Ovis aries: one gene and its partner. The protein of the gene in region 2 purifies or fractionates together with the protein of the main gene of each other region. This does not show direct contact. Links are inferred from orthologs where the notes say so. Each region holds a gene or a part of one and is shown on either strand. Other genes may lie near its edges. The genes, in order: RASA1 and PDGFRB.

Region 1 (15,954 bases), about 25 Mb from region 2:
ACCCTCATGAAGAGACTCTTCAGTTCCTCCTTACTTTCTGCTATTAGGGTGGTATAATCTGCATATCTGAGGTTATTGATATTTCTCCCAGCCATCTTGTTTCCAGCTTGCACTTCATCCAACCCAGCATAACACATGGTGTACTCTGCATACAAGTTAAATAAGCAGGGTGACAATATACAGCCTTGACATATTCCTTTCTCAATTTGGAACCCATCTGTTGTCCCATGTCTGGTTCTATCTGTTGATTCTTGACCTGCATACAGGTTTCTCAGGAGACAGGTAGGGTGGTCTGGTATTCCCATCTCTTGAAGAATTTTCAATAGTGTGTTGTGACCCACACAGTCAAAGGCTTTAGTGTAGTCAATGAAGCAGAAGTAGATATTTTTCTGGAATTTTCTTGCTTTTTCTATGATCCAACGGATGTTGCATTTCTGTTTCCCTCTGCCTTTTCTAAATCCAGATTGTACATCTGGAATTTCTTGGTTCATGTACTATTGAAGCCAACTTGAAGGATTTTACTAACATGTGAAATGAGTGTAATTGTGCAGCGGTTTGAGCATTCTTTGGCATTGCCCTTCTTTGGGATTTGAATGAAAAACTAATGTTTTCCAGTCCTGTGGCCACTGCTGAGTTTTCCAAATTTGCTGGCATATTGGGTGCAGCACTTTTACATCATCATCTTTTAGGACCTGAAATAGCTCAGCTAGAATTCCATCACCTCCACTAGCTTTGTTTGTCATAGTGCTTCCTAAAGCCCACTTCACTTCACACTCCAGAATATCTGGCTCTAGGTGAGTGATCACACCATAGTGGTTATCCAGGTCATTAAGACTTTCTTTTTGTATAGTTCTGTGTATTGTTGTCACCATCTTCTTAATATCTTCTGTTTCTGTTAGGTCCATACCATTTCTGTTCTTTAATTGTGCCCCTCTTTGCATGAAATATTCCCTTGCATCTCTAATTTCCTTTTAGAGATCTCTAGTCTTTCCCATTCTATTGCTTCCCTCTATTTCTTTGCGTTTTTCACGAAGGAAGGCTTTCTTATCTCTCCTTGCTATTCTTTGGAACCCTGCATTCAGATGGGTATATCTTTCCTTTTCTTTTTTGCCTTTCATTTCTCTTCTTTTCTCAGCTGTTACTAAGGTCTCCTCAGACAGCCGTTTTGCCTTCTTGCATTTCTTCTCTTTGGGAATGGTTTTGATCACCACCTCCTGTACAATGTTACAAATCTCTGTCCGTAGTTCTTCTGGCACTCTATCAGATCTAATTCCTTGAATCTATTTGTAACTTCCAAAGTATAATCATAAGGGATTTGATTTAGGTCACACTTTCACTTATACTAATCTATTTTATGTCCCGTGCATAATCACTTTTGCTTCTATTCTATCATTTAGCTGAAAATACATGTTAAAAAAAAATGACAGAAAATATATTTGGAATCAAGCAATAAATAGTTCTAAAAAAAAAAAAATCACTCCCTCTGGCCAGAAATGCTCCATTAATAATACACATGACTGGGAAACGATGAGTTCTCATCCCAGTCATACCATGATTAACACTGATTAAGCTTCTTAGTGGAGAAGGCAATGGCAACCCACTCCAGTACTCTTGCCTGGAAAATCTCATGGACAGAGGAGCCTGGTAGGCTGCAGTCCATGGGGTCGCTAGGAGTCGGACACGACTGAGCGACTTCACTTTCACTTTTCACTTTCATGCATTGGAGAAGGAAATGGCAACCCACTCCAGTGTTCTTGCCTGGAGAACCTCAGGGACTGGGGAGCCTGGTGGACTGCTGTCTCTGGGTCGCACAGAGTCGGACACGACTGAAGCAACTTAGCAGCCGCAGCAAGCTTCTTAGCCATTTGTGCTAAATAGCCTTAGTTAGGTCATAGGATAGGATAAATTAAATATAACGTGGTTCAAGTGTAACAAATAACATCTCTATATTTAACAGAAATACATTCTTCATCACAGGGGTTCTCAAACCCTGCTGTAGTAGAACTGCCAGTGTCAAACCCTACCCTCTTGGCATCCACCTATTCTACGGAAGCAGTGGCCTGTCACTGCTAATGCTAGTTACCCTCTGCCTGAGGGCTTTCTCCGGCCAGGGGAGATGCTCAGGCTGTACATTGGGCAGTCTGGAGATGTTTTCAGAAGCTGCCCTCAGCCAAGGATAAGCGGGAGTTGAAGAATAAAAACCGCAGTTTCTGTGTCCCTCAGGTGTGCCTCCTCCTGGGGGCTCTGTGCGATCAGCCAGACCTCCATGGTAGAACTTAGCCCCAGTTGCTTTTAGCAGTAACCAGCTCATTAATACATTCTCTATTAATTTCCTTCCCTTCTCTACTCTCCTATTGAAATTTCCCAGGATGTCCTCCCAAAGAAACACTTTAACACTCAAGTCCTAGTTTCAGTGTCTGCTTCTGGGGAAACCCAAATTAGGACCAATTTTTAAAAATCCATGGAAAAATGGAAAAAGGACATAATACATACTCTGCACATTTCATGAAGCTAAATTTATGTGAGTCAAAAGATTTTTTTCCCTGATATTGATTCTTCTGTTTTTTCCCTCTTCCCCTTCCTTCCTCTCTCCCTGTCCCCTAATCCATGATCTCCCTTTTTACTATTTCTGACCTGAAATGTCTTTTCTTTTTATGAAACAGTTGTAGAAAATTGTTGTTAATAGTAACAAGATATTCCCCACTTCACAAAATTCATAATTCAGTAGTTTTTTGTTGATGCTTTAGTATTCTGTAAAGTCTAGAAAACTAGAAGTTACTGCTGCTATATATACTATGTGTTATATTTCATTGTTATTTCACAATTAGATAAAGAGAAAGTTAAAATATTAAAAAGTTTAAGATAACAAGTGAAATTGAGTTCTTCAAAAACATGTATTAAGAAAAATAGTTAGAAATATCTTAGTAAGATAGTTTTAGTTAGGTTAAGTTTCATCATCCACAACTTCTTCTGAAGTACTTAAAACTCTCACCTTATTTTATCTATAATTATCTCAAAGTGCTATCAAACCCTTTCATTGTATAGTTATTTTGAAGCCTATTAAAAGGGCTTACGTATTTGATGTACTAAATTTAGAGAGAATTGGGTTACTGGGAGCTTCTCCAGTAAATCCAAGAAAGCAACCAGAATTAAGAGACTCTGCAAAATTCTATGGCACCCCACTCCAGTACTCTTGCCTGGAAAATCCCATGGATGGAGGAGCCTGGTAGGCTGCAGTCCATGGGGTCGCTAAGAGTCGGACATGACTGAGCGACTTCACTTTCACTTTTCACTTTCATGCATTGGAGAAGGAAATGGCAACCCACTCCAGTGTTCCTGCCTGGAGAATCCCAGGTACAGGGGAGCCTGGTGGGCTGCCATCTATGGGGTCGCACAGAGTTGGACACGACTGAAGCAACTTAGCAGCAGCAGCAGCAGGAGCAGCAGTAAAATTCGTAGGTGAAAGGCCAAAGGTTAGCTCGATTCCATGACTCTGTTTCAGGTGGTATTTAAACGGTTTCAGGTGTTCCAGGTAGTAGTTAAATTGCTGTCACAGAGGCACAGAATAGCAGTTAATCATGAGGAAAATGTGAACTGGAGCCTCACACCACCCTGAGTCCCCCGTTCCCTTGCCCTAAAAGCATTCCGCTTCCTTTTTTCTTTTACTTCTAGCATAACGCATTATCATGTAAAGGAACCCAGGTGCAGAAAGGAAACACAGAGGAATCTAGTAGATAAAGAAAAACAAACTAGAAATGATGCAGGAGAAAAATTTCTGATATAGAATAATGAAAGACCAAAAGATAAAAAAACAAATAAAAAGTGAATACATTTTTCTACTCTTTCAAGAGAAGGGATATTTATTCTCAATCCAATTGATCTAAGTACCTTTAACCTTGAAAAGTGAAAGTGAAAGTCGCTCAATCCTGTCTGACTCTCTGCGACCCCTTGAACTATACAGTCCATGGAATTCTCCTGGCCAGAATACTAGAGTGGTTAGCCTATCCCTTCTTCAAGGGATCTTCTCGACCCAGGAATTGAACTGGGATCTCCTGCTTTGAAGGTGGATTCTTTACCAGCTGAGCTACCAGGGAAGCTCCACCTTTAACCATATATAAGCTTAAATGTTTTAAGAGGGCTCTAATAATTTTCTTTAAAGTTTTACAGCCTCAGTTTGTACTATTTTAAAATTTCTCCATGGTGTTTATAATTTTCTTCAAGCTTAGTTAATTATTATATCACATACTGTAATCTCTGAAGAGCTATTTTTACTTTTTCATCAAAATAATTTCCATTAACCTGTATCTCCTCAACGTTATTTGCTTAAAGGTCTTCCTAGTAAGGAAATTTCTGCTCTTGAAAATTTTAAGATGAGGTCAACAAATGCACTAAGGACATTAGAGGTTAGGAGTGAAATTTTGAGGTCAATGAAACCTTTTGACATTATTTACAGAAACTTGGAAGCCTATTTGTTTAGCTGAGTGTGTACTAGGGCATGAAACACAATTATGCTCTTTATCACTTCTTGCTTAGTATTCCCCTCAGAAATGTTCTCTAAAATTGTATTACTGAGTCAGTTATCTTTTCACATATTGAAGCATCAAATCTGTAACATATTTTAAGAGTGTATTCTATTCATATTTGAGTTACCAGTAAAATCAGAATGAGTCAAAATCATTTTTTAGAAAATTAAGTGTTCAGATTCTTTTTACCCATAAGTCTTTGCCCAGCATTTCTGATTATTTGTTGTTGTTGCTCAGTTGCTAAGTCATGTATGACTCTGGGAACCCATAACTACAGCATGCCAGGCTTTCCTGTCCTTCACCATCTCCCAGAGCTTGCTCAAACTCATGTCCATTGAGTCAGTGATGCCATCCAGCCATCTCATCCTCTGTCACCTTCTTCTGCTCTTGCCCTCAAATCTTTCTGAACATCAGGGTCTTTTCCAATGCGTTTGCTCTTCGCATTAAGTGGCCAGAGTATCAGAGCTTGTTTCAGCATCAGTCCTTCCAATGAATATTCAGGGTTGATTTTCTTTAGGATTGACTGATTGGATCTCCTTGCTGTCTAAGGGACTCTCAAGTCTTCTCCAGTCACAGTTCAAAAGCATCGATTCTTCAGTGCTCAGCCTTCTGTATGGTCCAACTCGCACATCCATACATGACTACTAAAAAGCCATAACTTTGACTATACAGACTTTTGTCAGCAAAGAGATATCTGTGCTGCTTAATACTCTGTCTAGGTTCATCATAGCTTTCCTTCCAAGGAGCAAGAGTCTCTGAATTTCATGGCTGCAGTCACCATTTCCATTGATTTTGGAACTCAAGAAAATCTGTTACTGTTTCCATTTCCCCCCCATCTATTTGCCATCTATTATTTATTCTTCATGAAATGCTGTTTAATTCTATATCTGGAGTAACTTTTCTCAAATAACAGATATCAAAGATTGTTTTACTAAGAGTAAAAGCTATTTGGAATTTTCCTCTTTTTGTATATTGTTCAGTTTTTCAGTGCCTCCCTGTTTAATATTATCTGTGAATTTAATTAGCAGACTGTTTACTTCCCTTTGTTAACTAATGTTACATAACACCACACCTAACATCAGTCCCTGCAGAAACCTTGTAATGCCTCTCTCCAAATAAATATTTCATTAAAAAAAAAATGTTCTTCAGTTTTTGATTTATGAAACTTCAAGGAGTACATTATCTATGTCAGGAAATTCAGGGACTTGGAAGAAAAGGAAAGGGAAGCACAGAGGTAGAAATTGAGGGAGAAATTAGCAGAAAAAAATTAGACTGTAGAGACTATAAATGAAAGATGGAGAGGTCAAGGTGAATAGAAAAAGAAAAAAGGCAATAGAAAAAAAATAAAGAAGGCAAAACATTTAGCCTTTTTTGGAAAAAAATAAGTCACTGAAGACAGAAGAGAGTACACAAAGGGAGTACACAAAGAATAATAAGGATCAAGGCCTAGACCCATCCAATAAACAGAATGTGTAAAACATTTGAAAACATCTCATCAGAAATGTGTGGTAATCTCTTTAGATGGAAAGGACAACAGTTCTCTAAGGCTGAATATAATGTAAGACAGTGGTATTAGGTTGATATATACAGACAGAGTAGATCTCTCCCACTGGTTGAGCAACTGATGTCTAACGATAGGAGCTGATCTAATTTAGTATTTTTAAAAAGAATGGAAACCTGTTCAAAGCAATTGACAAAGATGCCTAGCATTAGGTTAGGCAGTAGGTTAGACTACAAGTTGTGTCTGCAGTGTAGGAACTACAAAATAGTATACGTCGGTATGTAATTGGAGTTGGACTGCATTAAATATTGACCTTTAGATGCTAAAGAATTTCCAGAAAAGGGAATGGATGTAATTCTGCAAATTAGTGAGTCTGACCTGGAATCTCAGGCAGAATAAATATGCTGTGTGTTAACCCAGAGCTGGTGATTACCTGCCAGTCCAACATCTTATGTTCAGAGGCCAACAATGGTGTTGCATACCTTTTTCTTGTTTAGCATATTGTATTGGTTCTTAAACATAAATGTGCAAATTTGGAGAATTCATTAAAACAAGAGTACTCCATTTTTCTGATTCAAGAGGGTCTGCGGTGGGGGTCTAAGAATTTGCATGTCTAACAAGTTCCTGGGATATTGCTGGTCTGAGATTATTACTGTGATTAGTCAGTCCTTCACTCTCTCTACTGCCTTAAGAGGCAAGAATGAAGGAGTCCTTAGGACTACCACTAATTGCATTGTCATTGATTTGGCAACCAGGCTTATGGAAATAGACATTTCTAAAGAAAAACATCTTGTGTGCACCCTGCCACCTCCTTCAATTGTCTTTTCCTTTTTTCCTTGGCCTCTTGTTACACAGCCCCTTTCCATCCTCAATGTGCTTCTTGTGGATTTCACTATTACCCTTAGTAGAGAAAATATTAATCTCAAAGATCAATATTAAATGTCTATTTAATGTGAAATTCCTCCTAGGATAATGTAAAATAAAAGCAATATATATGAATCCAAAAGGTCTAATCACAGATACTGGAATTTCAAAAAAAAAGAAAGGAAATGATTCCTCCCCACCTACCTTTACACATTTGTTGTTGAGATGCTCAGTTGTGTCCCACTCTTTTGCGACTCCATGGACTGTACCCGGCCAGGTTCTTCTGTCCATGTGATGTCCACGTGTTCTTCCCTCCTCCCAGACAAAAACACTGGAATAGGTTGCAGTTTTCTTCTCCGGATCTTCCCCAACCAGCGATCGAACCTCCGTCTCTGTCATTGCAAGCGGATTCTTTACAACTGAGCTACCAGGGGAGCACACTTTTATACATATTCCACTATAAAAACCAAAACCCACTGTCTCTGGATATGTAAAGGGTGAAATTTCATTTATTATTTTTGAGGATACATAATTGTAACTGACGCGTTGGCTCCTCCTTGACATTTGCTGGTTGAAACTGCTCTGTACCACACGTGTACCGTGGAGTGTGCCCTGACGTGTTTTGTGTTTTGCGCAAAAAAGTGCAGATTAGCGTTGTCTGGGGACCTCTCCTCTCCACACCTTATTATACCCAACAGACTTGCAGTGGCAAAGGTAGTGTATGTGGGTGTGAAAGAAAGGGAAAAGAAAGAAAAATAGAATACAGAGAGAGTCGGAGAAGACAACAAAACGCGTACAGTCACAGAAATCCGACTCACAACCACTGTTTCTTCTAAAATTCTTAGCCCTCCCCATATGTCTCCCCAGTTATCCATTTCGTTCTGAGTCTTCAGTTCAGCTGCTCAGTCGTGTCTGACTCTTTGCGACCCCCATGAATCGCAGCACGCCAGGCCTCCCTGTCTATCACCAACTACGGAGTTAACCCAAACTCTTGTCCATCGAGCCGGTGATGCCATCCAGCCATCTCATCCTCTGTCGTCTCCTTCTCCTCTTGCCCCCAATCCCTCCCAGCATCAGGGTCTTTTCCAATGAGTGAACTCTTCGCATGAGTCTTAGAATCTATTAAAAAAATTTTCATTTTATTTTTTTTAGCTTGAAATAGTCATATAGTCATTTATATAATGAAAAGAGAACGGAAACACTAACAGGACTCTCTCGGACCTCCAGGCAGGTACCCCTCCAACTGCCACCCCCGCGGGCCTCGGCCGTCGGGTTTCTGCGCCGCCGGCCACGGCGTCCGCTCTACCGGTCGGGAAGCGAGGAACTGGCTTTGCCTCATCTCCCCTTCTCTTTCCCTCCCTCTTCAAGAAACCCTCCTCGTCGCTCACAGGTTTTTACCCCGCTGAGCGGCCGCGTGCCGGGGACCCACTCCTCCCCTCCGCCGCCTAACCCGTCTCTCAGACAAAGCCCAGTCAGGCAGGCGCGCGCCACCGGCCACACCGACCGGCGAGGCGGCCGCGCCGCCACGCGCTTCCCCACTGGCTCGGGACTGCTAGCTTGGCCGCGCCTCCACGCGCTCCCCTCGGCTCGGGACAGCGAGCGCTGCCGCACACCGCGCGTCCCCGCCGCTTCCTTCCCTCCAGAGTCTTCCTTTCCCTCCTCCAGACCCAGCACGCCACACCCCCACCCCAACCCACCGCCTCCGCGCGGGGAGTGCGCCTGCGCAGAAGCTGCCCTCTCGCCCCTCCTTCCCCGCCCTTCCTTCCCTCCGCCCCTCCTCCCGCGCCCCGCCTTCCTTTCTCTCGTCGATGTCACTTAGCGCTCCAGGTTGGGAGCCTTTAGGTTGATTTCCCCGCTACCCCGCCCCCCTTCCTCTTTTTCTCCCCACCCCTCCCGCCTCAGCCCGGTGGAGGATGAGGCGGCCGCAGTGGCCCCAGCCCCTGCAGCGGCACCGGCGGTGGTTGCGGTGGGGGTGGCCGGAACTGGGGTGGTGAAGAAGCGGTGGCGGCGGCGGCGGCTGAGGGAGCAGCAGCCGCCTCAAGCCGCTTTCCCCCCCGCCTCGCTTCCCTTCCTCTTTAGTGCAGCCAGGAAGTTTTTCGCTTCTGTGCATGTGTGTGTGTGTGTGAGTGTGCGCGCGCGCGCGAGTGTGGGTGTGGAAGGTGAAGGTTTGGGCGGCGTTTGTGCAGGCGTTGGGGTTTTTTGCCCACTTCTCTTCCCGTAACCCGGGGAGCTCCCGAACCTGGGCTGTGGCCCGGAGAGGGGGCGCGGCGGCAGCGGGCTCTCTCCTTTTGTTGTTGTTTCCTCCGCCCGGGGAGCTGAAGAGGGGACGCGCCTGGGTGGGGCGGCTCGGAGCCCGGGCCTGGTGGCCCCTGGGGGCTCCCGGGCGGGCAGGGTAGGGCCGCGTAAAGCGGGCTTCAACATGATGGCGGCCGAGGCCGGCGGTGAGGAGGGCGGCCCGGTCACCGCCGGGGCAGCGGGAGGCGGCGCGGCCGCGGCCTCGGGTGCCTACCCGGCGGTGTGTCGGGTGAAGATCCCCGCGGCCCTGCCCGTGGCCGCCGCCGCCCCCTTTCCTGGGCTGGCGGAGGCCGGCGTGGCCGCGACTCTGGGTGGCGGAGCCGCTCTGGGGTCAGGCTTCCTGGGACCTGGGTCTGTGGCGGGGGCCCCGGGGGGAGCCGGACTGTCAGCCGGAGGCGCTGCCGCCGGCGTGGCTGGTGTCGCCGCCGCCGCCGCCGCCGCCGCCGCCGGACCCGGCGGGGAGATGGCTGAAGCCAAAGGGACCACTTCGTTGCCCACTGAGACCTTCGGGGCCGGCGGCGGATTCCCTCCTCTGCCGCCGCCTCCTCCTCAGTTGCCCCCTTTGGGCGCTGGCCTGGGAACAGTGGACGAAGGTGACTCTCTGGATGGACCAGAATACGAGGAGGAAGAGGTGGCCATCCCGCTGACCGCTCCTCCGACTAACCAGTAAGTCAAGACCGGCGTTTTGGGGGAAGCTGACTCCTTGGAAAGAAATAGGAAAAACAGGTCTAGTTCTTTTCAGCTGTGACTCGTAGTGCTTTCAGCTGTGACTCGTGTTTTCAGCTGTGACTCGTTCAGAAAAAGTTCTGAAGCTCAAGGTTCCGTGCGTACGGATTTAATTTGATCACTCATCCTCCCTACAGGCACACTCCCTGGCGTCTTGGTATATTTATTGCTCCTCTGGGAAGATGTAAAGTTTTCAAGATGGGAAGCATGGGAAAATGTGTATCCAGGGAGAACCGGATATGGTTCTGTCCCTTGCAGATTGAGGTGGCGTCCTGGGATTCAGCTGAGTTTGCAGCTACCGAGGCAGTCGTAGTCTGTATTAACCTGGTTGCATTCCCTGTTGAAGCTAGACAATTAGTGAGAAGCTTTGAATATTTGAGTGAATATCGTGGTAGTATTGTTTGAAACGTGCCTTGGTCGGATTGCTTTGTTTTTGTTGCCCTGCAATTCCCGGCTTCTGGCTGTTGAAAGCACTGCGATGCAGAAAAGACTTTGGATTGCTTTTGAGAACGTGGGTCAGCGAGAAAGGAAAGTTCTGTTAATTACTGGTGTGGTTAAGGGCCTGTACTCCCACAGTATTTAACATGTGCAGTAGAATTCCCGTTTACTAATATGCTAGTATAATTCTTCTGTAAGTTGAAACTTTGTAAGTACAGTATTGAACTAGAATTAATATTGTGCTTCCCTTCACCTTTTGTTGGTGGCAAATACAGTATTCTATTTGAAAATTAATTTTGACAGTCTTCTGCAGAATATACAGGACAAATGACTTACATATATATATAGTACTTTCTCCCTTGTTCTCTTCATAAGTGAACTTAGGTTTGGATCTTGAGAGGAACATGTTGATGGGCAGTAGGCAAAACTTGTTTTATAGATCCCTCATATCTGTCTTAATTGTCCTTTAGAATTTTGACAACCTTGGTGAGGTATCAGAGGAAGAAAGATTTGATTCCTGTGTTGACCATCACTCTAGACAGTTGAAGGTGTTTTTTGTGTCTGTTTTTTTTTTTTCTTTTCTTTTTTTGGATAAGCTTCTTTAGAAAATTTAGAAAGGACTTAACAAATTAGGGCATTTTTGACTTAAGGCTACATACATCTTTTGATGGAAAAGTAAAGTTAATCTTATGTCAGCCATGGGACAGGGGAGTTTTATTCTTTTTATATTGTTCATCATGAGTTCAATTTTTTGTCTAATTTAATTTCTGCTTATCATTTCTTATCTACATATTGCAGACTTCTCTGAAGGTGTTCTGAAAGTATTAAAAATTCAAAATTTACAGCTCTGTTTACACATCTTCAAGCCTTTTTCAAAACTACTTAAGTATTAAGGGCCCTGTGGTTATGATAAAGTTCAGCTTTTCATAATGAAAGAATATAGTCTTATGTTAGTTCTTAACTAAATTGAATAAGGCATATTTAGTGTGTTGCAGTTCTAAATTTTTTTAAAAATAGAATTTATTTGTTAGAGCAGTTTTAGGTTCACCGTAGAAGTGAACAGAAAACACAGTGTTCCAATTAAATTTTTAATAAATATAAATGAGAACCTAAGAAAAATTATTCTTGTGAGAAATCCATTGTAAGATTTTCATCATTTGTGTTTGGGAATAAAAATATTATTTGTGTAACTCTGTATATGAGAATTGTTCATGTTCTAAAAAGTATCCTCCATTTCACTATAGTTTTTAAAAGTTGCCAACGAGAAGTACAAATTTCCCTCTCTTCTTTATCTTAGATATCAACCCAGACTTACTGGAGGCAATACAGTGTAGGGGTTAAGGTGCAAAATCTGAAGTTAGACAAGATTTGGGTTGGAATCCTGACTCTGCTACTTACTAGCTGTATGATCTTGCAAAGGTCAGGTTCCCCATCTGTAAAATGGGGTAATAATGCTATCGCCCTCATATGATACTTTTTAAGGTTAATGAGAAATCCCTGAATGTATTCAGCACAGTAACTCATACGTAGTAAGTGTTCAGTAAATTGGCTCAAATAGTACATAATTTTATCATTAAATTGCTTGTCAATTCTATAGGAACTCCCATGCTAATAGCTATTTGAGAGAATGTTTTGAATTCCACGGGTCTGTCTACCATGATTAATTATATCAAAATTTTTATTTTAACTTTATAAAGGCTTTCAGCAGGTGAAGCAGGTTTAGAGATGGAATTCAAATGTTTTCTCTAAATTCCTAATTTTAAATAAACGGAAAAGCCTTAGAGACTTAGTTAAATAATGTCAAACCTTTCATTAAAGTATTGAAGAATTTTTTTTGGCTAAATTAATATGATTACCAGTGACTGGTCACTTTAGTTATTGATTACATGGTATTAAGGAGGTTCGAGTTCGCAGTGGTTTGTTAGATAGACTAGGGCTCCCGAGTCACAGAGTTTCAACAGTGTGTCCAGGTTGTTCGGTGCTGTTGGTCACAAAAGAATCAAGTGACAATATGTAGATACACTAGTGCAAATATAATAACACTATTATTTTGTATCTTGTTTCTCTGTGTGCATGGTGAATCATTAGCCTCATGTTTATCACTGAGCGTTTTCATTCATTTGGTTAAGGCCAGAAGTTTAAGTTTGTATAATTGTAACTATTACATTTATTTAAATACTTTTTTTTGCAAAATTTAGGAAAAAATTTTTAAAAGAAAAATATTTTCTGCATACATTTTTTATGTAGAAAATGTCCTGTACCTAAAACAGCTAATATATATTTTTTTTTCCCAAGAGAGAAAAGTTAAAGGAGTTTTTCACTGATACTTCGTTTACTGTAATGGAGCTTTTTTCCGTGGTCCTCCTCTTCTCTTACTTTCTTCCTCAGAGGGGTGACAGTAAAGTAGTATAGTTCCTCTAGTCCACCTTCTGTTATGTATAGAGATTTTAAACTATGAGCCTGCAGTAGCAGGAGCGTCTTGGGCTGAATCCAGTTGAGAGATACACATTGCTTGCTCTTAGTGTATTTGGAGCATTGAGTGGATTAGTTGCCACTTTTAAAAACAGCAAAACTTCATGTTTAAGAAGTCTTGATTTCTAGCATCACTTGAGACTTGGCTTTACCTGGTTGCTGTTAGTGCTTGAGAATAGTTTTCTGTAGCTGAGTAGTGATTGCCCGACTTAAGTTCTGAGCTCTGCAGTTAACTGTGGCCTCCACCAGGCCTGCTTCGCCTTTGATATTATTTGTGTGGTGTCTGGCTAACTAGATCTTACCCTGGACCTAAGATGCAAGTTTTCTCAAGCCTGAAGGTGGAAGAAAAAAGAAATAAGGAATGTAAATAATACCTTTCGTTTCCTTAAAAATCATCATACTGTTTGTATAAAAATATAAATTATTCTTAAGTCAAATCATTGTTAAATGTTAGTACTAAGACATAGTGTTCATCAACTTCGTCATTGATTGCATTATAACTCTGGGTGAGTCATAATTTCTTAATAAAAGCGGGAGTGAGAATTGCAGAGATTAGGTGTGGACATAGTGACCACAGAACCTGAACATGACCAGATATTTATCTGAGTAGGAGAGCAGTGTAGTAGGGGCTTAATTTAAGAGAGACAGCAATGAGTAAGATACTCCTTTTCTTCATGAGTCTCTCTTCCAAGAGAGTTTTCGATCTAGGAGAAAGTTAAATGGGCATCCCTCTTAGCTCAGTTGGTAAAGAATTTGCCTGCAATGCAGGAGACCCTGGTTGGATTCCTGGGTTGGGAAGAGCCACTGGAGAAGGGAAAGGCTACCCATTCCAGTGTTCTGGCCTGGAGAATTCCGTGGACTGTATATGCCATGGGGTCGCAAAGGGTCAGATACTATTGAGCAACTTTCACTTTCAGAAAATTAAGTAACTTCAATAGCTGAAGATAAATATCATGAGTAAAGTATGAGCACATGGTCATGGGGGTTAAAATAATATCTGTATAATTAGAATCAGTAAGGTTTTAGAGGAAAAATAGCAGGTGTGTTTTCAGTGCTGCTTAATTTATTCTGAACAAGAGGTAACTGATTCCTATAACCTTTGCCTAATGATTCTGTCAGGTAAAAAAGAATTACAAATTAATGAAGAAAATTTTTTAACCTTGAGTAAAGTGTGTGTCCTCAGTTCAGTCACTCAGTCATGTCCGCCTCTTTGCGACCAACCTCATGGACTGCAGTATATGAGACTTCCCTCTCCATCACCAACTCCCAGAGCTTGCTGAAACTCATGTCCGAGTTGGTGATGCCATCCAATCATCTCATCCTCTGTCGTCCTTTTCGCCTCCTACCTTCAATCTTTCCCAGCATCAGGGTCTTTTTCAGTGAGTCAGTTCTTCGAATCAGGTGGCCAGAGTGTTGGAGTTTCAGCTTCAGCATCAGTCCTTCCAATGAATATTCAGAACTGATTTCCTTTAGGATGGACTGGTTGGATCTCCTTGCAGTCCAAGGGACTTTCAAGAATCTTCTTCAACAACATGGATCAAAAGCATCAGTTTTTTGGCGCTCAGCTTTCCTTATGGTCCATATCTCACATCTGTACGTGACTACTGGGAAAACAATAGCCTTGGCTAGACAGACCTTTGTGGGCAAAGTTATGTTTCTGCTTTTTAATATGCTGTTTCGTTTTGTCATAGCTTTTCTTCCAAGGAGCAAACTTTTTTTTTAATTTGTTTATTTTAATTGGAGGCTAATTGCTTTACAATATTGTAGTGGTTTTTGCCATACATTGACATGAATCAGCCATGGGTGTACATGTGACCCCCATCCTGAACCCCCCTCCGACATCCGTCCCCATCCCATCACTCAGAGTTGTCCCAGTACACTGGCTTTGAGTGCCCTGTTTCATGCATTGAACTTGGATTGGTTATCTGTTTCCCATATGGTAATATACATGTTTCAATGCTATTCTCTCAAATCATTTCACCCTTGCCTTCTCCCGCAGAGTCCAAAAGTCTGTTCTTTACATCTGTGTCTCTTTTGCTGTCTCACATATAGGGTCATTGTTACCTTCTTTGTAAATTCCATATATATATGTATGTGTTAATATAGTGTATTGGTGTTTGTCTTTCTGACTTACTCCACTCTGTATAATAGGCTCCAGTTTCATCCATCTCATTAGAATTGATTCAAATGCATTCTTTTTGATAGCTGAGTAATATTCCATTGTGTATATGTACCACAGCTTTCTTATCCATTCATCTTTGATGGACATATAGGTTGCTTCCATGTCCTAGCTATGGTACACAGTGCTGCAGTGAACATTGGGGTACACATGTATCTTTCAGTTCTGGTTTCCTCAGTGTGTATGTCCAGCAGTGGGATTGCTGGGTCATAAGGCAGTTCTATTTCCAGTTTTTTAAGGAATCTCCACACTGTTCTCTGTAGTGGCTGTACTAGTTTGCATTCCCAACAGTGTAAGAGGGTTCCCTTTTCTCCACACCCTTTCCAGCATTTATTGTTTGTAGACTTTCTGATAGCAGCCATTCTGACTGGTGTGAGATGGTACCTCATTGTGGTTTTGATTTGCATTTCTTTGATAATGAGTGATGTTGAGAATCTTTTCATGTGTTTGTTAGCCATCTGTGTGTCGTCTTTGGAGAAATGTCTGTTTAGTTCTTTGGCCCATTTTTTGATAGGCTCATTTATTTTTCTAGTGTTGAGCTGCATGAGCTGCTCATATATTTTTGAGATTAATTCTTTGTCAGTTGCTTCATTTGCTATTGTTGTCTCCCATCCTGAAGGCTGTCTTTTCACCTTGCTTATAGTTTTCCTTTGTTGTGCAAAAGCTTTTAAGTTTAATTAGGTCCCAACTGTTTATTTTTGCTTTTTATTTCCATTACTCTAGGAGGTGGGTCATAGAGGATCCTGCTGTGATTTATGTCAGAGAGTGTTCTGCTTATGTTTTCCACTAGGAGTTTTATAGTTTCTGGTCTTACTTTAGATCTTTAATCCATTTTGAGTTTATTTTTGTGTACGGCATTAGAAAGTGTTCTAGTTTCATTCTTTTATAAGTGGTTGACCAGTTTTCCCAACACCAGTTTTTAAAGAGATTGTCTTTTCTCCATTGTATATTCTTGC
Region 2 (15,210 bases):
CTGCAGGGAACTGTCATGGCTGGGTGAAGTCCCCTCTTTTTGCTCAGAAGATGTAAGCTCCCTAGAGCTCTCTAGGGAGCAGAAAAGGGCCTGTGGGGGACAGGGGAGGAGGGAGGGAGTTTCCAAGGAAAGTCACGGGTGGCCAGAGGGGCAGGACAGGGGTGATGAGGGTCTGGCTGAATGAGGAGGGAGTGGGAAGAAGTGGGTATGTGCAGCAAAGAGGCTGAGGCTTTGAGGGTAGAGGAGACTCAGGGCTTGGGGGGCCCAGAGTTGGCCCTGTATGGTTATCCCTGTTGCCTGGCCCCTTCCTCATTCTGCTTTACGATTGCCATCATGGCGGGTGGGGGTAGGGGAGGGGAAACAGGCTCTTTTGTGGAGTCTGTATGCCTCAGGCTATGGGAGTTCAGTTATTGTATCCATCGGCCTCTGTCCTAGCTGTGCCAAGCCCCCATGAGGGCCTAGATTCAGAGGAAAGGTAAACCACAGCCCTGCTCTCAGGAGCTTGTCTTCAATCTGGACCTGCGGCAGACAGGCCAGACTGACCTTGGAAAGGGCTGAGGGGATATGGAGGCCAGTGGTGATCCAGGGGGAGTTACTGTAGGGCAGGGAGTATTTAGGGTGAGGCTGGAGGTGTGGCCCAGAAGAGAAAGGCTGGAGGTCTGACATCATAGGCCAAAGCGGGGATGGAGCTGGTTCCATTCTGGGCAGGATGGGCAGAGAGGTTTTGTGGTACCAGAGGTAGATTGCAGGGAGGGGAGCTGCCAAATGTCCTGTTTGTTCATAAGCATCTCTCATCTCTGCGTCCAGCCCTGCCCTTCAAGGTGGTGGTGATCTCAGCCATCCTGGCCTTGGTGGTCCTCACGATCATCTCCCTCATTATCCTCATCATGCTCTGGCAGAAGGTAAGCCCCGCCTTTGCCTAATGGGTTCAGAGTGGCACACCATTTTTTCACATGGACCTCTGCCATCCTCTAGTGCTGCAGGATCTGGCCATGTCTGGGGCCCAGCATGGAGCTCAGGGGATAAAATGATGTACAGTAATGCAGGGTGTCTGAGCTTCCTCCAACCGCAGCAGCCTGGACCAACATGGGCCTGGTCCAGACCATCTGGAGTGCTCCGACTCTGCAGCGCACCCCTCTCCCCACCCAGCATCCTGCTCGGGCATCATGTCTGTCCATCCTAGCCACAGGGCACGAGACCTTCAAGGTGGACTGCCTGGGTTCCAGCATTCTTCCAGCTCTCACCCACACTAGGATTCTAGTGAAAGGCATTCTAATCCTGCTAATCTGTCATTTCAGTGGTCTGTACTGCCGTTTCACCATTCCATGACTCTACCGCAGGATTGCTGCACTCGATTCTGTCATTCTAAGATTCCAGTCCTGTGATTCCAGCATCCTATGATTTCAACAGTCTAAGGTTAAATCTTTCTGAGATTCCCACTGTGACTGAGCCGGCATGGGGAGGGGCCATCCACATCCAGTGGAGTGTCCCTGCCTCATGTCACTTTCCAAGGCTACGTGCTCCTCTATTCCCATCGGAGGAGCAACTGAGGTTCTGGGAGAAGCTGGTGAGGAGGTCCTGATAAGCCTGTGGCTCAGCTGTCAGCTGCTTCTCTGCCACCTCCTCCTTACATCTGTTCCCATGGAGCCCGTAAAGGCCTTGGCTCTATTGATAACTTGCTGTATGACTTCAGATCTACTGTATGACTTCAGATAATCTTTTCTGGGCTTCAGTTTTTCTTGTCTCATCTGTTTCATAAGGAGCTGGACCTAGTGGTCCGCCTCTGATGATCCATCCCTGATCTTGATCCTGCAGAAGCCACGCTATGAAATCCGATGGAAAGTGATTGAATCTGTGAGCTCTGATGGCCATGAGTACATCTATGTGGACCCTATGCAGCTGCCCTACGACTCCACCTGGGAGCTGCCACGGGACCAGCTTGTGCTCGGTCAGTCCAAGGAGGCCTCAAGTGGCAGTCTGGGGACTTGAGGCGGGTGGGAACACTGTCTGACATCTGGGCCCAGCCTTGCCATGATTGGCTTGAGACCTAGGGCTGATGTCTTGCCTTCTGTGGCCCTCAAGCCCTACCCTCTGTACAATGAGGGTAAGATGATCCCCCTTGAGACCCTCTAGCCTTTATGTTCTATGATCCAGAGATGCTGTGAGATGAAACCCCTTTGTGGAGAAAGAGGAAGTGCCAGGCCTGTGCTTAGTGCAGCTGGAGAGGCTGAGAGGGTACGGAGAACCTGTGCTCCCCTCTCAGGGAGAGGTTTTCCAGGGACTAAAGAGGGACCAGAAAGTAGGCAGGACTTAGGTGAGACCAGGAAGGACCGCAAAGCACTGTGATTTTAGGAGCCTTCATGGGAGAAACACCTACGTCCAGGGTGGCTTGAGGGATGTCTAACCTGACCTCAGAGAGCATGCATGTTGAGATTCTTCATGAGTCAGCAGCTGAGAGATCATCTCTTTCCCAGGACGCACGCTGGGCTCCGGGGCCTTTGGGCAGGTGGTGGAGGCCACAGCTCATGGCCTGAGCCATTCTCAGGCTACCATGAAAGTGGCCGTGAAGATGCTGAAATGTGAGTCCTGGGAGCCCGCCCCTCCCTCCCCTCACCCCCAACTCCCCCGCACATTCAGGCACTCCCAGAGCAGGCCTTGTGCTGATTCTCAGGGTGCAGAAGTACAGGCATACCACAGCCAGCAGCACTCCCAATTCTCCTTTGGTAAAGAGGCTTCCTCACCCTGCCCCCTCCTCCAGGAGCCTCCCCGCCCACCCTTTTTCCTTTCTCCTGCCCGTGGGTCCTCACCACCCTTGACCACCTGGGTCTAACAGCACAGACTGGGGCAGAGGAGCCAGAATAGGCTCCAGTGAGGCCTCCGTGACTGGGCCAGGCCTGAGGTCCTCTCTCTCCCTCAGCCACAGCCCGCAGCAGTGAGAAGCAAGCCCTCATGTCGGAGCTGAAGATCATGAGTCACCTTGGGCCCCACCTGAACGTGGTGAACCTGCTGGGGGCCTGCACTAAAGGAGGTACAACCCCCTCCCAGAGGACTCTGGGAAAGTGCCAGTGGCCAAGGCCTGGCCCCTCCCTGCCCCCTCCTCAGTCCAAGGACAACAGGACATTCTCACTGGAGGGCCCGTGCCTACCCAGTCCAGTGCCCTCACTTCACAGAGCCAGACGTGTGTCGGATTAGCAAGTCACAAAACCACATCACCTCTAAGACCAAAGCACTCCCCAGGTCACCATTCCTAGCAGTTTCCAAATCAAGGAGCCCTCTGACGTTTAAAGCTTGTTGCAGTCGATTTTAAAAAGGGTGATACGTAACAGCTCATGAGACACTGAAACGAGCCCTTCCTCTGGAGACCACCAACCGGCTTGCTCACTGAGAGCTGCTTTCACTCGGATCGTAGAATAAGTAAGGTCTCTCCAGCTGAGTGTGTTTATTTGAAACTCTGATTACACGTTAGGCCACACAAAAAAAGTTATCACTACTTTCAGCTGCTTATTGTGAGATTTGGGATTTTCCTCAGTATTGTGCAACCAAAACAAAATACAGAAGTACACTATGTGCGTAGACTAATTTTTGTCTGCAGTGGTCACACATTTCAAAATGTTTGATTCCACCAGTATCTTCAAACTGCCAAGTCAATGCATTGTGCTTGAATTTAAACAGTAACCTGGTAATAATCAGTTGCCTTTGCTTTATATCCTGGGCTCAAATTTCAGCTTCATCAACAACAGCTAGCCCTATGCTTGCAGTTTGCCAAGCACTGAGCTGAGCTAACCAAAGGCATTATCTCATGAATACTCATGAGGTACTTTGGGGTGGGTATTACTAGCCCCATTTGACAGATGAGGATAGTAAGGCTCAGGGAGACTGCCTTGCTCACAGCCAGGAAAATCCAGGTTTGCCTGGGGCCTGAGCCTGTTTGCTGTTCCACATGCAGCCTGTCGTTAGCCTCATGGCTCTGACCGGAAGCCTGAGCCCACCCCGACCCCCTGCCCTGGGACTCTTCCTGAGCCTGTCCTTCTGCAGGGCCCATCTACATCATCACCGAGTACTGCCGTTATGGCGACCTGGTGGACTACCTGCACCGCAACAAGCACACCTTCCTGCAGCGCTGCTCGGACAAGCGCCGCCCGCCCAGCGCCGAGCTCTACAGCAACGCCCTGCCTGTCGGGCTCCCTTTGCCTAGGTACCGCAGGGAGGCTGGGGCCTGAGTTGGTGGGGAGCCCTGAGGAGCACCTGCTTACCCCTCCTTGTCCAGGACAGGAAGTTGAGGCCAGGGTGGGTGGAGCCGCTCCTAGAGCCAGCCTGCAGCCTGGCCCCCTCGGCCACCCTAGAGGTGGGCATGATAATAACAGTGGTGATGATGGTAGCTGCCACCTGCTGGTTGTAGGAGGTGTGCCAGGCCCTGTACTGAGCACTCTGCAGGTGTGATCCCCTTCGACCTCTCACCAAACACACATCATGGTCTCTCCATCAACGGGAAACACCTGGGGCCCTCCTGCTCCCGGTTGACCCTCACTGTAGCTCCACTCTGCTCCTCCCTTGCTGCAGCCTCCCCCCTCTTCCACACAGCAGTCTCTCCAGTGCCTCCAGGGTAGCTATACTCTCTCCTCTGCTTGTCCAAAAATGACATTTCTTTTCTCTCTTGCTCATTGCAAAAGCAATACTAGTCTATTTCAGAGGCAAGAGTCAGTTAAGAATAGCATTAAAAGATGTTAAAATTCATCCATGTTCTCTTCAACATTTTGATTGGTTTCCTTCCAGTGTTTTTTCTCCCCCTAGAGACACATGTATACTTTGTCCCACAGCTCTCTGGGGAGCTGATGCTGTAGGCAGAGGCATTAAGGTGATTCACTGCTCACTTGCAGGGCCTCATGGCTGGACAGCGTCCTTCCTGTGACCCTTGTCTTTGGGTACTGGAATCGCCCTGGGCATGAGTTCTCTGAGGACACAACCTAGATCTTATCGTCATCTTGGCAGCCCCAGTGCCCAGCTCAGGATGGGTCTGAGGTTGGCTGGAAGGGCTGACTACATGGTCGTTCATATTGTGACAAATTGTGAGTGGAGGATGCGTGAGTGAGGGAGAGAAGAAATGCATAAGTGATGGGGCCTTTCTGGCCCCAGTGTTGAGCAAAGGGGCAGGAGGGGGATGGACGGGGAGAGCCTGTGCTACTGTCTCTGTGATGCTCCTCTGCCCCCAGCCACGTGTCACTGCCTGGGGAGAGCGATGGTGGCTACATGGACATGAGCAAGGACGAGTCGGTGGACTATGTGCCCATGCTGGACATGAAAGGAGATGTCAAATACGCAGACATCGAGTCCTCCAACTACATGGCTCCTTATGATAACTACGTCCCCTCTGGTGGGTGCACACAGGGTCCTCACACCTGTGTTGTCATACATTCTTTCCAAACCCTTTCCTCCACCCAGTCTGGCAACAACCCTGCCAGGAAGGTGGCCTTGTGCCCATTTCATAGATGCAGAAACTGAGGCCTGCCACCTGCCCAAAGCTGCTGTGTGGTGGAACCCCAATATCAACCCCTGTTTTTGGGTCAAGAAATGTACACACAGCCTTCAGGGAGGAGAGGAGCTTGGATTGGAGGGGAAGCCTGACCTGCTGGGGCCTCAGGAAACAGTGGTCTGCTCAGAGCAGGCCCCAGGCTGACTAGTGCCCTGAGGAGCAGGCAGGCCAGGCTGAGCAAAAGTGGCCCAGGGCTAATGCCAAAAGTTTTTTCTGGAAGTTGGAGAATTTAAGAGATATTTGGAAATTGTTTTCCTTTTGGGGCAGCCTTAGAGGATCAGGAGTCTCCTCTCTGGGCCATCCAGCCTCTACGAGCCAGAGGCCAGGGTTCTGCGGCCCTGGGGAGACTCAAAATGTCCTTCTGCTCTTCTCTAGCTCCTGAGAGGACTTGCCGGGTGACTTTGATCAACGAGTCCCCAGTGCTTAGCTACACGGATCTTGTGGGCTTCAGCTACCAGGTGGCCAATGGCATGGAGTTCCTGGCCTCTAAGAATGTATGTGTAGTCACAGTGAGCAGAGTGGGGTCCTGGGGAGGGGGGTCCCCCAACCAGCCAGAGTCCTCCAAGTACGTGACCCGTACAGCGTCCCTCTGGTGGCTGAAGATGGCCAATGCCCCACACCTGGTGGCCCCTCATACCTGACCAGCCATGTATTTTTCATAAAGCCCTTGACCTGGAGAGCCTTTCCCCACAATTGCCCCACAGTCTCAGCTCCCATCCCCTCTGTCCCCAGTGCGTCCACCGAGACCTGGCAGCCAGGAACGTGCTCATCTGTGAGGGCAAGCTGGTCAAGATCTGCGACTTTGGCCTGGCTCGTGACATCATGCGGGACTCGAACTACATCTCCAAGGGCAGCGTGAGTGCCTCCACTGCCATCCTGGTTCACGTGGCTTTGGCTCACGGGAAGTCAGGACAGGGTCCTCATGGGCTCTGCCTGCCTGGCCCTGTGTGTAGGGACAGGAAGGGGAGCCACCAGCTGTGCATGGGGAGGGGGTGGGGGTGACAAGCCCAGGCCTGTAGGGTGGGCCAAGGGCTCAGATTTTCTGGGCATGGCAGAGGCCAAGGGGCCAGCTATAAAGGTTCTGGGGGAATGGATAGGGAGCAGGCCAAATGTGCTTCTCAGCAGTGATGGCAGGCAGAGGAAGAAGCCCAGATGAGTGAGTGGCAGGTGGTACTCGGATAAAAGGTGACCATCCTGCCTCGCACTCATGTCCCCACTTTCCACACAGGGACAGAACTGGAGGGACACTAGGCTCCAGAGATGGAAGGCAGCTAGGATGAGAGCTGGGGGACACCTGGGCACATCCCTGCCTCCCCCCGCAGGGGCCTCTGCTGCAGTCAGGAAAGGGATAGGGGTTGCTGTGTCCCCAGCTTGTGAGAAGAGAAACTCAGCCTCCTGATCCTCTGACTAACCAGCTTTGGGATGGGTGTGGGAACCGTGTATCGGCAGTGATGGGCCGTGGGGGACCAGGAAGTGAGAAACAGCTGAGGTGGGGACTGCCGGGCCTCCTCCTGCCTCCCAGGTGCAGAGTGGGGCTCAGCCCCTCCTTGCACTCAGCAGCCTCTGCCCTCCCACAGACCTTCCTGCCTCTGAAGTGGATGGCCCCTGAGAGCATCTTCAACAGCCTCTACACTACCCTGAGTGACGTATGGTCCTTCGGCATCCTGCTCTGGGAGATCTTCACGCTGGGTATGCTCCCGTCATGCTCCAGTGCTCACCCGTACACAGCACAGCGTCCACCCTGAGCGCCCACACCTCCATCCTAGGGGGGCAGTGGGACAGGACTCAGAAGCTCTGCTCTTTTCTTGTTACTGTGTAACCTCGGCAAGTGTCTTGCCAGCTGGATCTCCTTACCTCTGCATCTCAGTATAGATGGACTTGGACAGTGACGTCAGTAAGCCTGGCTCTGGTGCTCTCTGTTCTGATTCCGGGGAGGGATTCAGTCTGTGTCCAGGGCCTGTGAGGGAGCCCACATTTCCCAGCGCCACGATGCCCTCACTGATGCCTGGGCTGGTGTTCCTCTCCCTGTCCTGTAAGAGAGGGTTTCTGCCACTTTCCAGCACCTTGAGCCTGTGTCTCTTGTCTCTGCTCCCTAACAGGTGGCACCCCATACCCAGAGCTGCCCATGAACGAGCAGTTCTACAATGCCATCAAGAGGGGCTACCGCATGGCCCAGCCTGCCCATGCCTCTGACGAAATGTGAGTGGAGCATCTGGGAAGATATTTGGGGGTGCAGACAATACATATCCAACTTTACCAGCTTAAGACAAAAATAGATTAGCTCAGAGATGTAGAAAAATTAGGTTTAGACAGACCCAGTTGTTCACAGACATCATCCACATCTCTTGCTCTCCCCTGGGGCTCTGTTCTCCTTCATGTTGGCCTTACTTTCAGGCTGGCACCATCCAAATGGTTTTGGCCTGGCTGCTTTCACCATAGTTGCAGCAGAAGGCCCAGCAGTGGCTGTCAAGGGCTCTGCTGGGGTCACAGGCCCATCTAGAACCAGCCACTGAGCTGAGGGGATGAACCCCTACTGGCTAGACCCAGTCGTGTGCTCACCAAGGTGCGGCCAACCCCATGGAAGCACTGAACTGAAGGTGAAGGAGGGGCTTCTCAAGGGAACATGCCAGAGCAGTAAAGGGGAGACCCCTTCCCTCCTCCCCTCCCACCTCTTTTTATTTATTCCTCACTTTGTCCTGGGAGGCGGCAGGCCCTGAGCCAGAGGCCCTGACCCCTCTGCCCCTTTCCCCAGCTACGAGATCATGCAGAAGTGCTGGGAAGAGAAGTTCGAGATCCGGCCCCCCTTCTCCCAGCTGGTGCTGCTTCTCGAGAGACTGCTGGGTGAGGGCTACAAAAAGGTATGCTGAGACAGGGGGGTGGGGGGGGGGTGTGGGGCTGGGGACTGGAGAGCACCAGTCCAGAAATAGACACAGGGTACAAGGCTCACTGTGACGCACTGGTGTTTGGGGACAATCCTTTCCCCTCTCTGGGCCTGTTTCCCTGTTGGTGCCAATAAGGGATGTGAGTGTAGTTTATTTTAGCAGTACAGAATTTCATAAAGTGAAATCCTACTTGGAAGCTGATTAATTTAAACTGGAGGCAGGGGCCTATAGCCCCCTCATCCTGCATCCTTCCACTTGCCTTTGCAACCAGACCAAACCCTGGGCCTCCGTCCCAAGTCTGAACAACCCCGGTGCAATGGCTACTAAGGGCCTGACTGCCTAGACCCCGTGGCAGGCTCGTACATGGCAGCTGTTGCCAGCGGGGCCTTAAAACCCTCCCCTGCCCCACTGCAAAGCTAGTGCGAGGGGGATGCATGTACCCTTTGTCCAGACACAGCCCTTTCCCTCAGTCCATTCCTCAGCCCACTCCGAGCCACATCTGGTTATGTGTCCAGGACCAGGGGTGAGGGAAACAGGCCCCAGCAAAGGAGGCTGTGGCAGGCAGAGAGCCCATGCCTGTCCCCTGAAGCAGGGGAGAGTTAGGGTCACGGGTGCTGGTCTGAGTACTGACCCCTCCCCAGGTGACCCTCAGCTCACCTTGTCTGGTGAGAGGCCAGGGAGGAGGGTAAATTAGTGGCTTTGGGCAACTCTCCTTCCTTTCTGAGCACCAGGGACCTTATTTACATAATGCTGGAGGGGCTGGCTCAGAATCTACCTGTTAGATGATCCCTAAAGTCATTTCTGGTCTGACCCTCCCTTTGTCTCGAATTCTTCCTGCCCCCTGAGCAGAAGTACCAGCAGGTGGATGAGGAGTTTCTGAGGAGCGACCACCCAGCCATCCTTCGGTCCCAAGCCCGCTTGCCTGGCTTCAGTGGCCTCCGATCTCCTCTGGACACCAGCTCCGTCCTCTATACTGCTGTGCAGCCCAACGAGGGGGACAATGACTACATCATCCCCCTACCTGACCCCAAACCCGAGGTTGCTGATGAGGGCCCACTGGAGGGTTCCCCCAGCCTTGCCAGGTAGCTATTCCTACTTGCAGCCCAAAGCAGTAGTGTACATACTGTGTGTGTGCACACGTGTGTGTGTGTGTCTTTGTATGTGTGTGTGTGTCATTCTGTATCTTCATGCCATCAGACTTGGCTTAGCAGTGAATTACCTCAGCTGAGTACTTATTCCTGCCAATTGAATAGCAAAAAGAATGGAACTCATTTGACCTTTGATGACCTTAGGTGGAAATGGCAGGCTGGTAAGAGAAAGAATGGCCTGGGACACATTTGCAAAGTATCTGTTTGGTTTAAAGGAACCTCCACAGCCATCTACTCTGTCCCCTCTCTCGGCTGTGACTTAGCCCTAAGGAGAGAAAAGGAAAATCTAATTTGCATCCCTAACACCACATGTATTATTCTGTGGTGATCCCCAACCCTGTGATCTGGCCTTCAGCACCATGCGCTGAGGACCCCAGGGAGCATGGAACAGGGAGACAGAGGTGTCTACAGAAGTTCAGGCCAAAATTCAGACTGGGGAGAAGGTTCATGCTTTTCTTTTGCCTTGGGATGTGAAGTTACAGCATGAGGGGAGGGTTTTGGAGGAAGGCCAGCTATCGCCTGGGCTAGATGTTCCGCATGTGGCCAGACCTACACCCAAAACAAGATCCACCCTGTGGCGAAATGGCTGGGGCTGCAAACTGGGTTCCAGCTGTATCTCTGCCACTCGCTGCAATGAGACCCGGCCAGGTACCTTTGCTGTGAGCCCATCTCTCTACATGTACTAGGAGCACACACAGGACTTAGAAGGCCCTCCCCACCCTGTTTGAGAAGCTAATATTCCAAGGCTCCAAGCAGCCAGTGTACAGAGGAGTTCAGCTGAGTTCAGACAGCTTGGAGTGTGAATGCTGGGGCTGCTCTGAGCCTTCAGACCAGCTGCTTCTCCTCTCTGAACCTCAGATGCCTCGTCTGCAAAATGAAAACAGTAGGAGTACTTCAATTTGGAGGTTGTTATGGGGACTGAACGAGGTCATTATGCGTTCAGGCATGTGGGAGATGGAGACTGATGAGTGAGCAATGGACTTTGGAGTCAGCTAGATCTGCTCTAAGTCCCCACTCCTATACTTAGCCACTGTGTGATGCAGGGCAATGACATAACCTCTCTGAGCTGCACTTTCCTCACGACGCCTGCCTCGCGTAATCTCTACAAGAATTTTAGTGAGCTAAAGTGTGTAAGGCACATGCAGCCAGCTCAGGTAGATAGAAGGCTCTATGTTAATGCTGTTCTTTCTCTGAGGTTCCCTCCAGCCTCTTACTCACTCGCCCTCCCCGCCTCTAGCTCCACCCTGAATGAAGTCAACACCTCCTCTACCATCTCCTGTGACAGCCCTCTGGAACCCCAAGAGGAGCCAGAGCCAGAGCTGCAGCCCACCTCCCACGTGGATCCAGAGCCCAAGTGGCCACCGGATTCCAGCTGCCCCGGGCCTCGGGCCGAGGCGGAGGACAGCTTCCTGTAGGGGCTGGCCCCCACCCTGCACTGCCCTACCCGAAGCTCCCCTCTACCTCCCAGCACCCTGCACCGCCTGGCCGGGCCTGGCCTCCCATCAGCCAGGCTGCTCCTGTCGGCTGTCCCTTTCCAGAAGGCTTCTGCCCCTGGCACATCATACCCAATCCCTGGGGCTGGCTTAGGAGGCGAGAGAACTGGAGGAGCCGTGACCAGTCCTCTGCCTCTGGAGCACCCATGTGACTCTGAGCCAGGGTTCTCCCAGGGGACTCTGTTTCCCCATCTGTAAGATGGGAATGATGGGCTTGGCAACCCATAGTCTGGGATTCTCACCCTGCCTGACAGATGTGGTGGATGGAACTCTCAAGTTTCGTGAAGTGGTGGATTAACTCTTTTCTGTTCAGCCAGCTGCCTCTCAAGGAGCTGCAGCTCTCTCCTTGCACTTTTTTCTCCAAGAGCTGGGGAAGGGACCCTAGCATCTCCGGCTCCTGGCCAAGCTAGGGCCTGGCCTTGGACAATGTTGCCTCATCCAGAAGCCACCTGCCCTCAGTGCCAGTCTTTGCTTTCCCAGGCCCAAGCTGGTCTGGGGCCTTCTGTGCTTAATTAATGCTGGGGGCTGAGCCAAGTACAGGATACCCTGGCCTGTAGCCCCAGGCCCAGGCACTTAGGGTGCACCTCCCCATAACATGCCATGTCCATGTCTTCCTGGCCCCATGGGTCCAGGGATCTCCTTTCTTATCACTGCCAGTCTTACTCCACTCACCAGAGTCTCCAGGGCCAGATGAGCCCCACATCTCTGATGCATGTGTTGACATGCTTGCAACAGGTGCCTGCACGTGTGGACCAGTATGGCACTGGACCTGCTAAGAGACCTTGGAGGATTCCTTCACCCTCTCTGGGGCTGTTTTCCCTGTTGAAAAATGAGCAATTGGACTCACTGACTTCTGGTACCCTGCCAGCACTAACATTCTAGAGTATTCCAGGGGTTGTACACTTGCCCAGATGAAGCAAAGATAAACACTCCACACCTCTATCCTGGGATCAGCTGGGACCTGGAGAGGCTCCAATCACACATCGCACACTTCCGGGCATTCAGGAACTGGGCCCCTTCCCCAGTCCCCCGGCAGGTCCCAGAGGGCAGCTGCCCAGGCCTTGGCTCTGAGTGATAGCCATGGTCCTGGAAAGCCCCCAGAAGCTGCCCAGAAGGGATGAGGGGGAGACCATGGGATCCCTTTCATGACCCACATGGCCTCTGGCTGGAGCTGTCCTGGGCAAAGGAAGCAGGCAGCAAATCAGAGTGCCTGGCGCAGCCCGCCACTCCAGCACCTGCTGTCCAGGGCTGTGCCGCAGACCTGACGGGCAGTGAAAGGACAAGATGCCTTGGAGGGGGTACCCGAGGAGGGGGTGCAAGGGGTGGGTACTTGGGGGTTGCCTTCCCGCCTTCCAGCTGCCGCAGCCTGAGGAAGGAACTGTGAAGATGGCTTTGTCTGCCCAGGGGTGCTCACCTCATGCCTCTGTCAGCCCAGTGGGCAGTGGTGGGGCCTAGGCAGTGAGGGCTGTGGCCAGGACCACTGGCAGGGGAAGGGCTGGATGGGGTGGGGGTGGGTGGGTGAGGGAAGGTCAGTGACTCTGGGAACCAGCCAGCCTCCTGTGTCGGTTGGCACCTCCCTGCCCTGGGACCCCCAAAGCCTGGTCAAGGAGAGGGTATGGGTTCTCACTACGGTACCAAAGATGTAATCACCTAGGTTTACAAGTATTTTTAGGACTCACGTTAACACACATTTATATGACAGAAGTGCTATTTTGTACGCCATCAAATTTTCCTCCCTGTGTACTTTTTTAAGAGAAAGATTTTAATATTAAACCTGGTGCTTCTCACTCACAGACTTTGTGGTATCCCACAGGTGTGGGTCCCTGGGCCCAGGAGGAGGCAGGAGTAGGGTGGGGCAGCTGGGCTCACCCAGCCGTAGGATCCCCACATGACCCCTCAGCTCAAGCCCACTCCCATTTGTGAGATGGGGTTTTTCACACTCCCACCCACCACTCCCTGGTAGTTGGGGGACCTGGACCTCAGGCTTTGGTTTTCCAAGTTGTGGAAGAAGAAGGCTTTTCTGGCACCATAGTGCTTGGTTCTGGGTGGGGGCCCTGAGTCCCACTGCCACCCCCACCCTACCCAGCCATGTGCTTTGGCTTTGGCCATTAAGCCAGCCACCCTCCCTGCAGCCTGTGGCCCAGATCCAAGCTGGTGTGGCTCATAAGAAGCATTCGCTACAGCCCAGATCCCAGGCCCTGGTGACTGGTGGTCAGGTCTCAGGTACGGGCAGGGAGACAGACGGTGTGCCCGAGAGGGCAGAGAGGAGGAAGGAAAGAGGAGAAGAAGCAGCAAGGAAGATGTGGGTGAGTGTGGCCACAGCACGGCCAGGGGAGGGAAGCAGGGGCCTAGCTGTGGCTCCGAGAGCAGAGTCTGCCAGGCTGGGAGAGGGGTGCAGACTCACCCCTCATGGCTGTGGCAGCTTAGTGGTGTGTGGGGCTGTTGTGAGCCAGGCGTCTTGGTGTCCACTGGCCAGCTCAGTACTGACTGTAGGCTCTAAGCAGAGCCCAGGTACAGACAGCCCTGTCTGGGAGACGCGGCAGCAGAATGGGGCCAGGGCAATAGAGCTGCCGGGACAGAGGGCAGAGCACACAGATCCTGGCCCTCCTGCCTGTGTCCTTTGGGACGGGTCACCTGAGGGGCAGCAGGGTTCTGCCTGAGACCTGTCACACCTCACTGTGTGGCCTTGGCCATTCCTTGCTCTCTCTGAGCTGGGGATGGGGCATCCCAGTTTGCTTCTGGGGACTAGCACATCCTTTTGGAACCACAGGCCTCCCTGGACTGCCTCCAGAAGTCTGGGGCCGTGGCTGCCAGTGGGGAGAGGAACAGAGACATGAGGCAGCTCTGACTCACCAGCCCAGCCGCCAACTCAGGGGCAGCTGAGCCATCCCCAGGGAAACCCCGCTGCCTCACCTCCCCTGCTGCAGGGCCTGGGGGTCCTGGCCTTGGAGCCCATGACCCCATCTCCCCTGGCTGTGGTAGGAGATGAATAAGCCACACCAGGATCTGCCCTGTAAAGAGAATAATCAGCCACATTCCAGATGGGGATTATCCTTGTCTTTGGGAAAGCCTCCATCTGGTCAGGGGACCTTGATCCCTTCACCTCAGGCCTGCTCCTTATGGGGTCTTGGGTGGGTTAGACCAGAAGTAGATGCAGCTAAGACACCACAGAGAGAAGGGAGGAAGACAGTGCTGGTGCCGCTTACTGAAGCGTTCCTCTGTGCCAGGGATGTCCTGTTGCTGCACACATCTTCCCGTTTGCCTTCACATCCACCCTGTGAACCTAGGGCTGCTTCTGTCCCCATATTACAAAGGGGATACCAGTTCAGGAGAGGTTGTGGTGACTTGCCCACGGTTGTCAGGTTGGTACAGCAGGGAGGTGATGGGCGCCTGGGCCAGGCCGAACCCCAGGTCAGCTCTCAGGAGGGCAAAGGGAAGCTTGGGTCCCAGCCCCTGTCTCCTGACTCCAGACCTCTGGGGCTGTGAGTCCCCAAGAGAAAGTGCTGGGGGGAAGAAAGGAGCTAAGAGACTCTGAGGGCTAGGTGTATGTAATAAACAAGCATCTGATGGGCTGGGAGCCCACACACCCCTGTGCAGAGGGGATGTGGGAGCGGGAGGATGGGGGAAACTGTAGCTCCTGTGGCTCTCCCATCCCCACCACTCAGACGGGCCCATGGGAACTGGTGAGCTGGAATTTTCCTCCCAGACGATGAGCCACTTGACTATACAATTCTTCCACCACCCTATTCACAGCCAGGGTCCTTGTTCCTGGAAAAAGAGAGAAAGACTGAAAGCTTTTGCTTCCAGGGCCCTGACCCTCAGCTGACAAGGGGTCCCACAGCACCCATTAATGCTCCCTCTTTGAATTAGAGCCCTGTCTCCACAAGCTCTCTTCTATTTCAGTTTCTCATTCAGCTTCATAAACATTTAAAATTGCTTTCATAGATGCAATTATATAATATATGCCTGCATTAACAAGTATCCATTAGCAGATGTATGACAGAAAGAGACCCATGAGACCATGGCTGTCTCGGTCCCTCATCATTTAGAGTGGGTTCCTCTCTGTAAGCCGATGTGATGTTCACAATAAAGCTAGGCAACAAGCCAAGGGAAGACCCAGATGAAAAAGCTAAGGCTCAGAGCCATGAAGTGCTGGT

The links.
Region 1: the proteins of PDGFRB (region 2) and RASA1 purify together in Homo sapiens (co-immunoprecipitation; 5 studies listed by BioGRID and IntAct, with this or other methods). This does not show direct contact. The link is inferred for Ovis aries from reciprocal best matches to the Homo sapiens genes PDGFRB and RASA1.

Annotation. Positions count from the first base shown.
Region 1 is NC_056058.1:84,544,189-84,560,142, forward strand, and holds the start of RASA1 (ras GTPase-activating protein 1), read left to right. Parts: upstream 1-9,112; 5' UTR 9,113-9,307; coding exon 9,308-9,849; intron 9,850-15,954. UniProt on the Homo sapiens protein: Inhibitory regulator of the Ras-cyclic AMP pathway. Stimulates the GTPase of normal but not oncogenic Ras p21; this stimulation may be further increased in the presence of NCK1.
Region 2 is NC_056058.1:59,233,888-59,249,097, reverse strand, and holds the end of PDGFRB (platelet-derived growth factor receptor beta), read left to right. Parts: intron 1-807; coding exon 808-902; intron 903-1,815; coding exon 1,816-1,948; intron 1,949-2,474; coding exon 2,475-2,579; intron 2,580-2,917; coding exon 2,918-3,028; intron 3,029-4,035; coding exon 4,036-4,195; intron 4,196-5,210; coding exon 5,211-5,371; intron 5,372-5,905; coding exon 5,906-6,024; intron 6,025-6,262; coding exon 6,263-6,385; intron 6,386-7,107; coding exon 7,108-7,219; intron 7,220-7,629; coding exon 7,630-7,729; intron 7,730-8,282; coding exon 8,283-8,388; intron 8,389-9,261; coding exon 9,262-9,494; intron 9,495-10,797; coding exon 10,798-10,975; 3' UTR 10,976-12,844; downstream 12,845-15,210. UniProt on the Homo sapiens protein: Tyrosine-protein kinase that acts as a cell-surface receptor for homodimeric PDGFB and PDGFD and for heterodimers formed by PDGFA and PDGFB, and plays an essential role in the regulation of embryonic development, cell proliferation, survival, differentiation, chemotaxis and migration.